2 linked regions of the Tamandua tetradactyla genome follow. Each later gene encodes a partner of the first gene's protein in a complex. Links are inferred from orthologs where the notes say so. Each region holds a gene or a part of one and is shown in the gene's direction. Other genes may lie near its edges.

Region 1 (7,508 bases):
AGACAGACCTGGCCCCCAAACTGGCTCCTCTTCCCAGTTCTTCTTCCCAGCTCTGTGGCCTCAGACGAGTGGCTGTCCTCGGTGCCTGGGCTTCCTCATCTGCAAATCATGCATCCTGTTATTTATCCCTTCAACAAATATTTACTGAGTGCCTGCTATGCATTGGGTGTTGTTCTAGGTGCTGGAAAAGCAGACAGGACAGACATGCCCCTTGACCTCCCAGAATCACATCCTAGAGGGTAAACAGCAGACAATAAATATAATAAACAGGTAAGTTATGCAGTATATGAGGTGACAAGAGCTGTGGAAAAAGCATAAAAGAGGACCGGGCAGTGGGGCTGGAAGAGGGGGGTCGTGGTGGTAGCTGGGCAGGGGAAGCACCACTCTGAGACAGGATTATCACATTGTAGGCCTCGTTGAGAAGAGAGATGTGTGGAGGGTGGGCCACGGTGTCTCAGCAGGCAAGAATGCTCACCTGCCATGCCAGAGGACCCGGGTTCGATTCCCAGTGCCTGCCCATGTTAAAAAAAAAAAAAGAGAGAGAGAGATGTGTGGAAAGGCTTGAAGGATGTAAGGGAATGAGCCGGGTGCCCATCTGGGGAAGTGTTCCAGGTAGTGGGAACAGCAGGTGTTAAGGGCCTGAAGCAGCAGCGTGCCTGGCAGTGCAAAATAACAAGGAGTCAGTGTGGATGGAGTGGAGTGATGGAAGGGGAGAATGTCCTTGTTGGGCTGTGTTACTCTAACAAAGGAAAGAAGGAAACAAATTCAGTTACTGAGTGCCAACAACGTGTCGGCAACCGTGCCTGACATATACCGGTCATTTACTAACAGCCTCACGAGGTGGGTATTATGGCACCTTCCATACCCATGAACAATCTGAGGAACAGGAACAAGATGTGACTTACCTAAGAAGTGGCCAAGCGATCCTTTCTTCATCATGCCTTCCCTGCCACGCATCTGTACACCTCATAGCTATAGCAAGTCCCTAAAATGCCCAGGACTTTTAGTCAAGGGATTCATCAAAGGGTGCAGGAGGACAGACATGGCTAAGCACCTGGAGAGGCCAGCAGGGCCCAGGCACCCCGAGTGGCCCAAGATCTGCAGAGGGAGAGTCTGCAGAGACGTGGCCTCTCCCAGTCAAGAGCAGTGCGGGCCTGGAATGGTTAAAAAAAGAATGAGGACCTGCTACAAGAGGGTGACAAATATTGCAGTTTATTTTAACGGATTACCTTTAACAAGCTTATGCTTTTAACACACACAAATTCTCAGCAACATAATTTATTTAAACATTTTAAATTCATAGCATATCTCAGGTGGTGCGGTCTGATGGGAGGACCAGTCTCACAGACAAGAGGCTCTTCTTTCTAGCCTGTCAGCATGTTGCTGTGACTGAATGTGTGACTTCATGTGGCCCTAACGCCAAGGTTTACATTTGCGGCCCTTGCTGCATGTGAGTAGTGATGATGTGAGTGTGTGCGGTGCTTGCTGGGCACGGCTCTAAGTGCTTTACGTATATTAGCAAATATCGTCCTCACAGCCCCATGAGGCTGGCACGATTGCTGCCCACACATTATGGAGGAATAATCCAAGGGTCAGGGAGGTTGACTGATTCGTCTGAGGTCTTAACTAGTAAGCGGTGGTAATGGGATTTGAACCTATACAGTTTGGCTCCCAGCCCCTGAATGTTCAACTGTTATGCTACATGATCTCGCCTGGGCTGGGCCTTGGCCAAAGGTGGCTCCAAGTGGCTTCTCCTTAGGGCTCTTTCCTGGTGTTGTCAGGTTGTCATAAACTCCAGGCTGTGGAGGCATTTCCTGGTTCTCATGGGATCCGTTACCTCCAGGCTGGCACAAAAAGACTCACTGAGGAGTTTCAGAGGAGTTAGAGAGTAGGAGGGATCAGTACGTACCAGTGAATGCTGCCCTCGAGACTAGAAAGGACTGTGGGTCTTGGAATTCTGCCCCATCGTACCTGTGGAAAATCTGTATCCTGGCCACACCTTTTCCCTGTGTTCCTTCTTCTATGCTGAGCTTGTTGGTGTTTTGAAAGAGCACCGGACTCAGATGTCAGAACCCTGACTTAAGTCCTGGACTTGCTGCCTTGGGCTATGTGACCTTGGGCAAACTGCTTCACGTCTCTGAGCTGTGGTTTTTTCATCTGTAAAATGAGAATGAGAATAACTGCTAGTATTTATTGAGCTCTCACTATGCACCAGGGCTTGGATCATTGCTATACCTGGGGGACTTGTTTGTGAACTATGAAAGGCTTAACAATTGCAAGGCATTATTGTCGCTATTCTGGTCCTTGCTTAGATGCCATTCCTCTCTTTGATTACTTCCATTACAGCTGATGTTCTCTTTTCATCTGTTCCCAGGTGACACAGGGACCCTCGTCTTCCCTGAAGGCCCTTCTAGGCTCTTCCATCATCTCCGTGATAGCTGAGCCTATGCCAGGAGAATGTGAAGTACAGAGAACTTGCTTCAGTGTTGTCACCCTCAGTCATGGTCACATTACTCTTATTATTTAAATATATCTTTTTGCTTGTGGTGGGTTAGCAAACTTAGAGAAAAGTGCACCCACGAGGGCCTGCATGTTCAAAGAGTTATCACAAAACAACTACATCTATGTAACCTTTGTAAAAAATTAGTAGCACATCAGAAGTCCTCACAGTCTACCCCTTCCTTTGTGCCACTTCCCAATCACTACTTCTTCCTTCCGCCCCAAAGCTAATCATTATCTTTACATCCAACATCATAGTTTCCCTAATTTTGTACTTTATGCAATTACACAGTATTTAGAATTTTATGTTTAGTGTTTTTCACTCAACTTTGTTTGTGAAAGTCATTCATGTTGTTGTTTAGCAATAGCACATTCATTTTTGTTGCTATATAGCATTCTATCACATGAATACACCTCAATTTATTTACTGCCATTGTTGGCTATTTGGGTTATTTTCAGTTTTGGCCATTATGAATACTGCTGCTATGGACATTGTTATACCCACTGCCTTTTGTGTACATAAATATGCGTTATCTTATTTATTTGCTTCTTAATGCATATCAATATTTTTTCTTATCCATTTGTTTAATTTATTATCTCTCTCCCTCCAGTGGAGCATCAGTTCCATGAAAGCAGGGACCCTGTCTGTCTTGTTCATGGCGGTATGCCCAGTACTTAGCACCTGACACAAAGAAGGTGCTCAGTAGAATAAATATTTGAAGATAACGGAAACTGACATATGCCTAGCACTTTGACTTCATGGAGTGCTTTCACATACACTTTAGTTCTCACTAGAATCCATTTTGACTTAGATATTGTTAGTGTCATCACCCCCATTTTATGGATGAAGAAATAGGCTCAAAAAGGTGATATGACTTGCTGAAGATCATTCATCAGGCAACAGTTAACTAGATTTGAACCTATCTTAATCTGACAACAAATCCAGTAATCTTTCCACTGTATGCTGTTGCCTTACGAGATTGGAGAAGCCCAGGATTGAAATCCAGAACCACAGAAGATGGTAGAAGCAACCTCCTAAGAGTGCAGTTTATTTTCTACTTTCTGAAGTCCTAGAGTAGTGGAAAGAAGATCCAATGGAAAATTAGGACACTGGGCACTGTATAAACTGAGGGCAAAAACCATGTCATTCATCTCTATTTTGGCAGAGCACAGCCAAGGCTTATCACAAGATACCCAATAAATGTTGGACAAGCTGAATCAAATCCCTGTGAAATCACTCGTGACTTTGAACTAGTCACTTTGACTTCTTGGCCTCAATGTACTCTTCTGCAAAACAGGGACAGCATTTCAGTAGTTTAGTAGTTCTCTGTCCTCACACATGTAAGCTGTACATTAGAATCGCCCAAGGATCTTTGAAAAAAATACCCATGCCTGGGCACTCTCCTGAAGCAGTTTAATCCAAACCTCTAAAGATGGGTTTCCAGCAACACCACTTAAAAAAAACTTTCTAGTGATTAAGTACTGCCAATCAACACCACAGATTCAAACCTCGCTCTACAACCTACATTCTAGCTAAGGAACACTCTGTGCCTCAGTTTTCTCCTAGTAATGGTCTGGTGTGCCATTCTAGATACTTGATCTCATTTAGTCATCACGGTATCCTGGTACAGGTGCTACTACTACCTCCACTTTACAGATGAGAAAGCTGTGGAACATGTTCAGAAACTTGCTCAGGGTCACATGGTAACTAAATATTTAAGATAATAATATGTCTTTCACAGGATTATTGATAAGCCTTCATGAGCCCGCGGATGTGGAGGTGAAAGCGCTTTTTAAATAGTAAATCACTTTACTTTTTTTGCCTCTTGACTCTTCTTGCTCTTCCCACGTGATACTTCCTTCCCTCGGCGAAAGGGGCCGCTGTGCTGCGCGGGCGCTGACAGGTCGCTCTAGCCGCGGGCTCCGGTAGCTCGGTGGTGCCTATAAGAGGCGGCGCCGGGCTCAGCGCGGAATCAGTCTGCTGCCACCCGGGCTGAGGTTGTGGCTGGGATTAGGACTGGACCTGGACGCGGACGACCTGCCGCCGGGCCGTGGCGGAGCGCAGCGACGTCCAGGGGCCGCAAGAAGGGGCGTGTTGTCGCCGGCCCACCACCAGCCGCCCCCAGCCCGCGCCGAGGCGCCCTGCTGCCGGGCTGCCTTCCTCCGCCTTCCGCCTCCCTCCATTTCCCCGGAATCTCAGCCCAGCGCCTCGACCCCAGCCCTTCTCTGGGTGGGGAGCACCCGGCCGCTTTCCGGCTTCATTCCTTCCTGGCAGCTTGGACTCCCAGCGTCCTCTCTCCGTATTCCTGGCCTGGGTCCCATCCTCCCTGGTCCCCTTCCTTTAGCCTGGGCTCCCTACCCCTTTCCTTATTCCACAGTCCCAGCTCCTCAGTCACTTTCCTCAGCCAAGGGTCGCAGTCTTCCTTCTTCCTATCACTTGCCTGGGGTCCAGCCACCCCAGTCCCCTGCTCTGGCTCCAGGGCTCAGACTCCTCCCCTCCCCCTCTCTTTTCCAGGCCTAAGGTTCCACACCTTTGTCTCCTCCTGCAATCCTTCCTGGGTCCTTGTCCCTCTTCTCCATTTTGGAGTTCCAGTTCTCGGTCTCAAATCTTGGGGTTCCCACCTATTGCGACCCCCCCCCCCCACCTCTTTCCACCCCAGAGGACTGCTTCCACGAAAGTACTTCTCTAGAACATGAACTTTTCCTAGAGACTCTTCCAGTCTCTCTTCTGGCATTCGGACCCCTTCCTACCCATGTCCCACGTCTTACTCTCCCTTTGCTAAAGGTAGAGGCCCACTGGGCCCAGGGAGCAGGACGATGCCTCTGTGGCGTGGCATCAGTGGCCCCTCTCCACCACGGATCTTCCCTTCGTTTCTCATGGTGGTAGCCTTGGTGGGACTGCTACCTGTCCTCAGGAGCCATGGCCTCCAGCCCAGCCCCACTGCCAGCACCATCCGGGGCTCCGAGCCACCCCGGGAGCGCTCTATCGGGGATGTCACCACCGCCCCACCTGAGGTCACCCCGGAGAGCCGCCCTGTTAACCATTCCGTCACTGACCACAGCACGAAGACACGAAAGGCCTTTCCAGTCCTGGGTATCGACTACCCACACGTGCGCATACCCTTTGAGATCTCCCTGTGGATCCTGCTGGCCTGCCTCATGAAGATAGGTAAGTCCAGTTGGCTCTCATGCCACCACCACCACCTGACTGGCTTACCATTTGGGGCTGCCCAGGAATAAGGGTCCTGGATCATGGGCAGCCTCCATCCTGCTATCTTGGTCCTTCTCAAACTTTAGCTTTGTGGCCTCTGAGGTTTTGAGGCCTGCTAAGAATGGAAATCAGCATCTTGTGTGGGAGAGAGCAGGCAGGATGAGAGGATGGCCCCCACTGATATTAGGTACCTTCAGCAGGACTTCCAGGCCTGACAAGTCTTCCCCTGGCTGGGCCAGACCCCTTGGGAGCCAGACACCCAGATGTGTGTGAGACTCAGAAGTTTCTTCCAGCAAGAGGCACATTCTGCTTTGTGGACAGCAACTGGTGCAATTACATGCTTCATGGTAGAGTGGCCCAGGACAGAGAATAGCCCTCTCTACTTGACCTGTCTGAGGCCTGTCCTGTATAGCAGGAGCCCTGGGTGCTGGAGATTATAAGTGGGGTGGAACATGAGAGATTCTCAGATTCTCACATTCCTTTATCCCCAGAATGCTATCTGTCAGGTTTACCTGTCCAGGCTGGTTAGGAGTCCCTGAGTCAGTTTCCTGCCCAGGAATGCCATGCTTTATACAGTTTATGGGACAGGGACCCTAGACATTTCTGAGGCTTATTTTGAGGATGGAGGGAGAGCGGAGGAAGTTGCAGCTTGGTCTGGACCTAACTCACCTCCAGGTTAGCACCTGGCTGTGTCTTATGTGCCATCTGAGCTGTCCAGTCACATTGGCTTTCTGTCCGTCCAAGTAGAAGAGGTATAGGTGAAAGGGCTAGGGTGTTCTGGTCTGAAGAGACTTTGAAATGCCCTTTTTGGGGCAAAGGAGCAGAAAAGTTGTTCCCTCCCATAGGGGTGGTTTCCCTTCTAGGCCTGAGCATCCTGTCCTACTGGGTGGTCGATGGAGCTGACCAGAACCTGCATAGCTCAGAAGTCCCAATCCTTAGTCGTGGTGTCCAGGCTGGCTTTGATTGTTGCCTTTGCTTTTTTCAGTCCCCAGCGAACTGTGGAAGACACAGAGACATGGGTCTCTGCTCCCCTCTTTGCCTAAGGTTGGGTTTGGGGTGTTTATGACTCTTGGCACCTTTCCCAAGGACATGCAGAAGCTGAGTGGCTGTGCCAGTCAGGCTCTGGGACATGCTGCAGAAGGGCACTGGTGCCTGGCACTCTCACTGAATCTTGACAGATCCAGGATCTGGCTTCCTGGTGCCGAGCCGGTCACAGTGGCAGGGCTGGGCATGGAGCTGGGCTGCCAGTACCTACACACTGGTGGCAGCTGTGCTTCCTGGAAGAGTCAAGGACTGGGCAAAGAGAGCCATGTGTACTGATTCTGATACAATTTTGTGACCTTAAACAAGCTAGGGCCTTTTTCAGCTGGTCTCTCCCACCTGTGAAATGGGCAGGACTCTCTAGATTTGACCATACCAGTTGAGACCATGAGTCTTACCTTGTTGTAAAAAACTGAAGTCACTGTAATGTGTCATTTGCCTGTGTGAGACCAGAAGAGACCTTGCAATTGCTGTCTATAAACTGCCCTCCTCTCTCCAGCTCCCTCACCTCTGGACCCACACCTGGCATTGTGTTAAGGGCATTGGGGACTGGCACACAATGCAGGTCTCTCTCAGTGCCGGCTGACGGAATGAGAGCATAGCACAAAGATCCATTTTGGGCTGTTGGTAGTTATCCCTACAAGCCTCATGGTATCTTTAGTTCTAATTGGCCTGGCCTTCGTCACCACAGAGTACTGAGCCCAGGACCCTGGGCTGCTGGATGGCACAGATGCAGCCATGGCAAGGGTATTAATCT
Region 2 (7,747 bases), on another chromosome or scaffold:
TAACTCTAATTTATGAATATTATATTGACTCTTATTACCGAACCCACTTTCTTTACTTAGCTGGAAAATTATACTCATGATTTCCCCTCAGCTTCAGCAGCCACTACTTCTCAGGCTCCTTTGCCAATCCTTTCTCATCTTCCCAACTTCTCAACATTGGATTGTCCCCAGTGCTTAGTCCTGGAAACTCTTCACTTTTTCTCTTCACATCCTAGATAATGTTGTCTTGCCATACACTGATGACTTCTGTATTATTCAGGGTTCTAAAGAGAAACAGAACTGACAGGATCTATATTAAGAGATTCATTATTTGAATTGGCTCACATGACTGTGGGCATTGGCCAAAGTCCAATTTCTATAGGGAAGTCCACAAGTTGGGAACTTGATACTGACATTAAATTCCCCACGAGAATCTGCAAGTTGGGAACTTTGGTGAAGATGGTGATGAAATCCCCAGAAGAACCCAGGGGCTGAGGTAGAGAGAGAAATTCTTCTTCTTGACTGCTGAGATAATCAGTCCTCCTTAAAATTGCTGAAGGCAATCTCCTTTGTTGATTGTAGATGTAATCAGCCATAGATGCAATCAACTGACTAATGATTTAAATCCATGAAATACCATCAAAGTGACAAGCAGGCCAGTGCTTGTTTGGCCAAATGACTGGACACCATAACTTAGCCAAGCTGATACATGAAATTAACCATCACAACCCCCAAGTGTACAGCCCTGTCAATTCATCAAGATTATATAATTATAAACATATATGCACCAAACAACAGAACCCCAAAACACATGAAGCAAACATTGACAGATTGAAGGTAGAAACAGTTGTACCAATAGTTGGATACTTCAATATGCCCCTTTCAATCTTGGATAGAACATCTAGATGGAAAATAAATAAGGAAATAGAGGACTTGAAGCACATTATAAATATACCACACCTAACAGACATATATAGAACATCTGACAAACCAGATTACATTTTTTTCTCAAGTGCACATGGAACAGTCTCCAGAATAAATCATATGTTAAGCAACAGAACAAGTCGTGATATATTTTAAAAGATTAAAATCATACAAAATATGGAATGAAGCTAGACATCAATAATGGAAGGAAAATCAGAAATTTCACAAATACATGGAAATTAAGCAACACAGTTTATTTCTATTTTTATTTTTTTTTACATGGGCAGGAACCAGGAACCAAATCCAGGTCTCCGGCATGGTAGGAGAGAACTCTGCCACTGAGCCACTGTTGCCCGCCCAACAACACAGTTTTAAACCACCAATGAGCCAATGAAGAAATCACAAAAGAAATTAGAAAATATGTTGAGATGAATGAAAACAAAAGTACAACATACCAAATGTGAGGCTCTCACACCAATGTCTCTTTTGAATTCCGCATTCTTGTATCCAGGTAACTACTTAATATGTTTAGTAGGATGCATAACTTATAGCCCAACTAAAGCCTTTTTTATTTCTTCCCTTGAAATGTGCTCCTTTTCCTTTTTTTTGTTTGTTTGTTTTTTAACCATCTTGGCAAATGGCATTTACCAGTTGTTTAGGATAAAATTTTGGAGTCATTCTTTACTTCCGTCTTTCTCTTACACCCTACATCTGGTACATCAGCAAATTTTATGGACTCTTCTTTCAAAATCGAACCTAAATTTGACTACTTCTCACCACCACCGCTGCTGGCAACCTGGTCCAAGCCAGCGACATCTTTCATCTAGATAATTGCAATAGTTTCCCCCCTTGCCCCAAAAGTTATTCACAGCAGTTAGGGCAATTTTTGTGATGTTGATAAAACAGAAATTGGATCATCTCATGCTCCAGCTTGAAACTCTACAATTGTGTTCTATCACAGATAAAATAAAATTCATAATCTAAAGCCCTGCGAGATAGGGCTCTGCTCGAAATTCATGACCTGTCTCCTTACAGCCTTGACCATATGAAAAATGAAAATAGTCTCCCATTTTATTTTACATTTTAAACTTGTGAGATTGAGGATCTTTTTATGCCTACTGACTGTTTCTATTTCACATCTTATCCCAACTTTTTCTATTGGTTTAGTGTCCTTTTGATTTTTAAGAGATCTTTGTACTCCTCCCTTGCCTGTTATATGGACTTCAAATATTTTACTGACTTTGTCTTTTCGTTTGTATGTATACAAAGTCTTTAATTTAAAAAATTTTACATAGTCAAATTTATCCATCTTTTCTTTATGGTTTCTGTGCATGTTTAGAAAGACTTTCTCCAGTTCAAAATTATAACAAAATCTAACCAAAATTTTTTCTAGCATTGTATAATTTCATTTTGCATTTAAATCTTTGTTCTATCTGGAATTTATTTTGGGTATAAGAAGTTAGGGGTATAGCTTTTTCTTTTCCCTGAAAGACAGATGTCCCAAATGACATTTATTGAATAATCTACATTTCTCCCCACTAATTTCAAATGTCATATTTATCACATGGCAAATTCCCATATGTACTTGTGTCTATTTCTGACTTTCTTGTCTATTTCTTATCTGTCTCTTCCTGTACCACCACCACATAGCTCGTTGTAGCTTTGTAAAATAAATAAAATTTAAAAATCTGTTAGGGTAATTTCACCCTCGTTAAGTTTACTTCCCAGAGCTTTCCTGGCTATTCTTGTACGTTCATTTCCCCAGCCGATTCTCAGTATTGCTTTGTCAAGGATGGCTGGCAATTTTTAGGTAGCTTAAAAACAAAACACAAACATTCTGCCTGAATCCAGTTTAACAGATTCTACTATGAAATTCTCTCCAAAGCATCGTCTACTTTAAAACCTGAAAAGATGTGGCCACATATATTATGGCGTCAATTTAAGTCCCACTTATGTGCATGAAGCAGAAATGGGTTCTAAAGAGTGCTCCACCATCCTGTACTCTTCTGTGGGCTTCAGTACCGTGTGCAGATGAGAGCTGTTTATTCTTCTCTGACCTAATTTGCTTTCGTGGAGAGCTCCTTGCAGAGCAAGGCTGGAGAAGGTCTTTCCAAGATCAGAATCCCAAGCTGGCCTGAGGTGATTATTGCAGCTTCCCAGGGACTCCTATCCCCTCCTGAGTTCAGAATCTAACCCAAACTGCACTCACAGCCATGGACTGCAGTGATTATCAGGCTTCATTAGGGAGGAGGCCAGTTTCCCCGCATGCTTTAGTCCTTGGGGGTGTCAGAAAGAGGAGAAAGCACTTCTTAGATCAATATCTTCAAGGCTCATCTGATGCAAGCCTTTGCCTGAGGCTGGAGGATTCACTGTGTCTCCAGCTTCTCTCTCTCCAGGGGGACATGAACTTAATCCTTGTAAAGAACTGCCTGCATTTTTTTCCCCTTGGAAGTCTGTGCATGTGTGTGATTATGGTGGGGGAAGATGAAGGTAGATTGAAACCTGGACACTGTGGAGCTTATTCCTTTACAACTGAGTTTTTTAGTCTTTTCTTCATCAACACTGCCTTCCCCACCCCCAGGAGCCTTTTTAGACTTTTGTTTTTCTTAATTGCCCCTCTCCGTGAAATTTTAAACCTCCGTATATATTCTATATCTGGTTATGTATGGTATGTGCATCTGTGCTTTATACAGGAAAAAGCATGTGATTTTTTTGCCCCCCACTCCACCCGGGGGACTATATAGCCCCCCTGGAGAACACCTGCTTTACAATAGTTCACAACTTGCCTCCTGGGCAGCTTCCACCAAGCGAAAGTGGGAAGGTGCAGCGATTCCATCCGCTCAGGAGTTGGACTCTGTTGGCTGGCTCCTGGCCGTGGGTAAATTACTTCACTACTCCGAGATTGTTTCCTTGGTGGCAAAAAATGGACATCGTAGTAATTCCTCCCTCTCTGGCCTGGTGGGAGGAATGTGAGTGATAACGCACACGGAGTCCTTCGCCTGGTGGGGTGAGTGCAGGATGAACTAAGGCACTCGTGGCTGTCATCATTTAGGCCAGGCCACAGCGCTCCCTGTGCCCTCTCCCAGGCTGTGGATCGCAAAGGTGCTTCAGGACCCGACGGAGGTCGGAGTCATTTCCAGCCGGGAGCTTCCAGTGGAGGGCCACGAGGTGCATACGGGAGCGAATTGGGGTTGCGGGGACCCTGGGCGATTGTCCCCATTTAAACCGGCAGCTGCCCCCCGGCTGCAACCATGTTCCTGCAAGCAGGAATGGGGGTCTAGTAAAATCTCTGGATTTTCAAGTATTGGCTCAATTAAACAATAACGCTGTGTGGGCCAAACTAAAGAGACCAGGAAACCAAGATTAAGTGGCTTGTCCAGAGTTAGGAGCATAGCTGGTCTCCAAATCCAGGGCTCTTTACACTTAGCCCAGCTCTTAACCTGCACCTCACCTCTTTTTGGGAGTCCTTCAGCGCTCCACCTCTCTCCAAATCAGCTCAGGCTGGGGCCATCCGGGTTTGGGGTAAATGCACCCGGCTCCCCTCCCCACCCTCCATCTCCTTCCCCCAGCAGGGCTCGGTGTTTGTCTCGAGAGGGTGAGGAAGGTCGGGACCTCCCAGACTTCCTCAACGGGAAAGCTAGAGAGCTCACCGACGCGGGGGAGAGCCCTGGGCTGGAAGGGATGGGGGCCGGGGGGCGGGGGCGGGGAGGAGGAGAACGCCCGGGTGTCTGGGCGGGAGCGTGAGAATGCAGGCCCCCGGGAGGGCGTGGGGAAGGCGGGGCGCCAGCCTCGCCCAGCCTCCCCCGGCGCCGACCTCAGAATCTCCGGGCTGAAATAACCCGTTGTCTGCACCCGCCCCTCTGACCTCGCCGCCTGGGCATTGTTTTCTATTCGCCCCTTGTCGTGGGTGGGAGGCAAGGAACGCCGGGGTTCACGAGCCTGGCTGCCCGCCAAACCCTTGGCCTTCGGCCCCGAGGCCACTGGGGCGGCAGTGCCTCTTCTGCGGGAGGAGAGAACTCCTGGGGCCCGCCCGCTGCCCTGACCCTCCCGGCCCCAGCTCCGCCATGGGCTCCGGTAGCTCCCACGCCGCGAGCATTCCCGACGTGGACAACATTCGGCGCGAGACCGGCTGTGAGTGGCGCGCCCCGGCGCAGGCGTCCCGGCTGCGAGGGCTGGAGCAGGGGCACCCGGTCCAAGCCAGGCGGCGGGGAGCGGGGGGCCTGAGGGGGCTGAAGGCAGGACCCCGGTGTAGGGGCCCTCATTTAGGGTTGTGTCGAGCGATGGGCGGATCTAGAAGTCTGGGGGTCCGCACCCCGGGGAGCTGGAGCCCCGAGGTCCAAGGGAGCTAGTGGCGCCTGAACCCAGGCGTCTCGCCGTCGGGGTGGAGGAGGGTCGGGATTCACGGTTGAGGGATCAGATTAATCGAGGCAGCCAGGGATCTCGAGCCCGGATCCAGACTAGAGGCAGAGTCAGGACGGCAAGTGGAGGAGGCTGACTTCGGTCCCTTGAGTCCCCGGGAGGGGAGTGGCGGGAGGCAGCGAGCCGCCGCAGGTCTCGAACCTGCTCTGCCCTGGGTTTCTGCGCGCAGCCTCCAACCCCGCCAGCCCCCGCCCCCGGCTTTCCGGGTTGAACGCCCCCTCCAGCAAACCCCTCTACGCGCCGCCCACCTCGCGGGGCTGCCGGGAGAGAAATTCTTGAGCGCGCCCCGCGGCTCTCTTGTCCGGCCGCGTCCGGAGCGTCCTTGGCGCTGTCACCCGTTTGCTTTCCCTCTCGCAGTCTCGCAAGCCAGTCTGCTCCGTCTCTACCACCGATTCCGGGCCCTGGATAAGGACAAGAAGGGTTACCTGAGGTGAGGGGGAACTGATCCGATGACCTCTGATCGCTGACTCCCTGACTCCATCCCCCTCTTTGACCCTCCATCTACTGCTTCGAACTTAAACTTTGCAGTCGCATGGATCTTCAGCGAATTGGGGCGTTGGCCGTGAACCCCCTGGGAGACCGCATCATAGACAGCTTCTTCCCTGATGGGTGAGCCTCGCCGGCGGTGGGAGCTGAAGGTGGAAAACCCTTTGTGTATGCGTGTGTGTCGGGAAGGAGGTAGGAAGCGGAGGAAGAGAGAAGGACCAAGGTGACCACTCCACTCCATCCCACCCCCAGGAATCAGCGTGTGGATTTCCCAGGTTTTGTCAGAGTCTTGGCTCATTTTCGACCTGTGGATGATGAGGATGCAGGAAACCGGGACCCCAGAGCACCTGAACCCCTCAACAGCAGAATGAATAAACTTCGCTGTGAGTTTGTGGTGAACCACCCACAAGAGACCCCAGATTTTTCCACATCAGCAAGAGGCCCCAGGAACCTTCCATTTCCATTGTGAGCCTAGAGTTTGCCCTCCCCCACTCCTTCAGGGAGACCTTCTCCTGGGAGAGAACCAGGGAAGATCCATCTTCTTTCCCCCCCTCCACTCTCTTCCCAGTTGCCTTTCAGCTCTATGACCAGGATCGCGATGGAAAGATCTCTAGGCATGAGATGCTACAGGTTGGAAGAATACAAGGGCAGGAAATGTGATGTGTGGAGGCTGAGATGGTCGAATGGATGGTTGTGGAGGGCAGATGGTGGGAGAGGGGTGGATGGGAGGTGCAGATGCCTGGGGTACTGGGTGAGGAGTGGGGATGGGTGATGTTAGTGTGGGTTTATTGGGAGATAGAGTGGGGAATAGTTGGGTGTGAGGTTGGGAGCAGATTAGTGGTTCTCAACTGGGGTAATTTTGCCCCCTAAACGGTATTTGGCAGTATCTGGAGACATTTTGGTTGTCACAATTGGAGTGGATATTGTGTTACTGGCATTTTGTGGGTAGAGGTCAGGAATGCTGCTAAACATCCTGCAATATACAGGGACAGCCTCTCACAACAAGGAGTTATCTGGCCCCAAATCTGAATGTGCCTAGGCTGAGAAACTCTGAAATAGATGTTGTGATGAAGTGGGAGATGGAATTGGAAATAGTTACAGATGAGATGGTGAATGGGGTGGAGGATGGATGAGGGATGGATATGAACTTGGTAATCACTTTCGAGGGTTTATGGGAGCAAGGTTTTGGCGATGATGGGAGTAGCCTTTCTGCCTCCTTTTTATTGCTGCCTCTTCTCCAAACTCCTAGGTTCTCCGACTGATGGTAGGAGTGCAGGTGACAGAAGAGCAGTTGGAGAGCATTGCTGACCGCACGGTGCAGGAGGCTGATGAAGATGGGGATGGGGCTGTGTCCTTCCTGGAGTTCACCAAGGTCAGAATGCCCTTAGGATCTGGGGAGATGAGATAAGGAGCCTTAAGTCAAATGGACGTAGGAGATGAAGTTCAAAGGACGTTGGCAGAAAGATTGGAGTTCCCAGGGAATAGTGGGGTTTCTGGATGGGTAGAACTCTGGGGGAGGAGGTTGGAAACAGAGGATTGAGATTCAAGCCTCTTGATGACCACTCCTCTCCTTCCAGTCCTTAGAGAAGATGAATATCGAGCAAAAGATGAGCATCCGGATCTTGAAGTGACTCTCTTTGTGCCTTTGCCGAGCTCCTGATGACCGGCATGTGCTTTTCAGCCCCATGGAGACAGGACCCCAATAAATTCTATTATTACTTCTAGATTGAACTCTATTCGGGGCAAAGGAGAGAAAGCTAGAAGGGTGTGTACTAAAGTCTGATTGATTTGATCTCAGGTCTCTGATTAGTCAGGAATTTTTTGGTTTCAGGGGATGGAAAACCCACATCAAAGTGGCTTAAATAAAAAAGGGATTTTATGGGCTCATGTGATTAAAAAGTCTGGAAGTATTTGACCTCAGGTACAGCTGGATCCAAGA

Evidence for each region. The genes of interacting proteins can lie anywhere in the genome.
Region 2: the proteins of SLC9A1 (region 1) and CHP2 are in contact, whole or in part, in a crystal structure (PDB 2BEC), measured with the Homo sapiens proteins. The link is inferred for Tamandua tetradactyla from reciprocal best matches to the Homo sapiens genes SLC9A1 and CHP2. Residues at the interface, in NP_003038.2 of Homo sapiens: Ser517, Ile518, Asn519, Glu520, Ile522, His523, Thr524, Gln525, Phe526, Leu527, Asp528, His529, Leu530, Leu531, Thr532, Gly533, Ile534, Glu535, Asp536, Ile537, Cys538, Gly539, His540; in NP_071380.1 of Homo sapiens: Arg30, Arg34, Leu38, Leu51, Ile54, Ala56, Leu57, Asn60, Pro61, Leu62, Ile66, Phe70, Phe83, Leu87, Phe90, Tyr118, Ala119, Leu122, Tyr123, Met136, Val139, Leu140, Met143, Ile156, Arg159, Thr160, Glu163, Ala164, Phe177, Ser180.

The regions. Positions count from the first base shown.
Region 1 is NC_135328.1:199,116,557-199,124,064, forward strand, and holds the start of SLC9A1 (sodium/hydrogen exchanger 1), read left to right. Parts: upstream 1-4,470; 5' UTR 4,471-5,316; coding exon 5,317-5,668; intron 5,669-7,508. UniProt on the Homo sapiens protein: Electroneutral Na(+) /H(+) antiporter that extrudes Na(+) in exchange for external protons driven by the inward sodium ion chemical gradient, protecting cells from acidification that occurs from metabolism.
Region 2 is NC_135349.1:33,319,254-33,327,000, reverse strand, and holds the start of CHP2 (calcineurin B homologous protein 2), read left to right. Parts: upstream 1-4,716; 5' UTR 4,717-4,967; coding exon 4,968-5,034; intron 5,035-5,679; coding exon 5,680-5,752; intron 5,753-5,850; coding exon 5,851-5,931; intron 5,932-6,060; coding exon 6,061-6,191; intron 6,192-6,376; coding exon 6,377-6,438; intron 6,439-7,057; coding exon 7,058-7,180; intron 7,181-7,385; coding exon 7,386-7,439; 3' UTR 7,440-7,747. UniProt on the Homo sapiens protein: Functions as an integral cofactor in cell pH regulation by controlling plasma membrane-type Na(+)/H(+) exchange activity.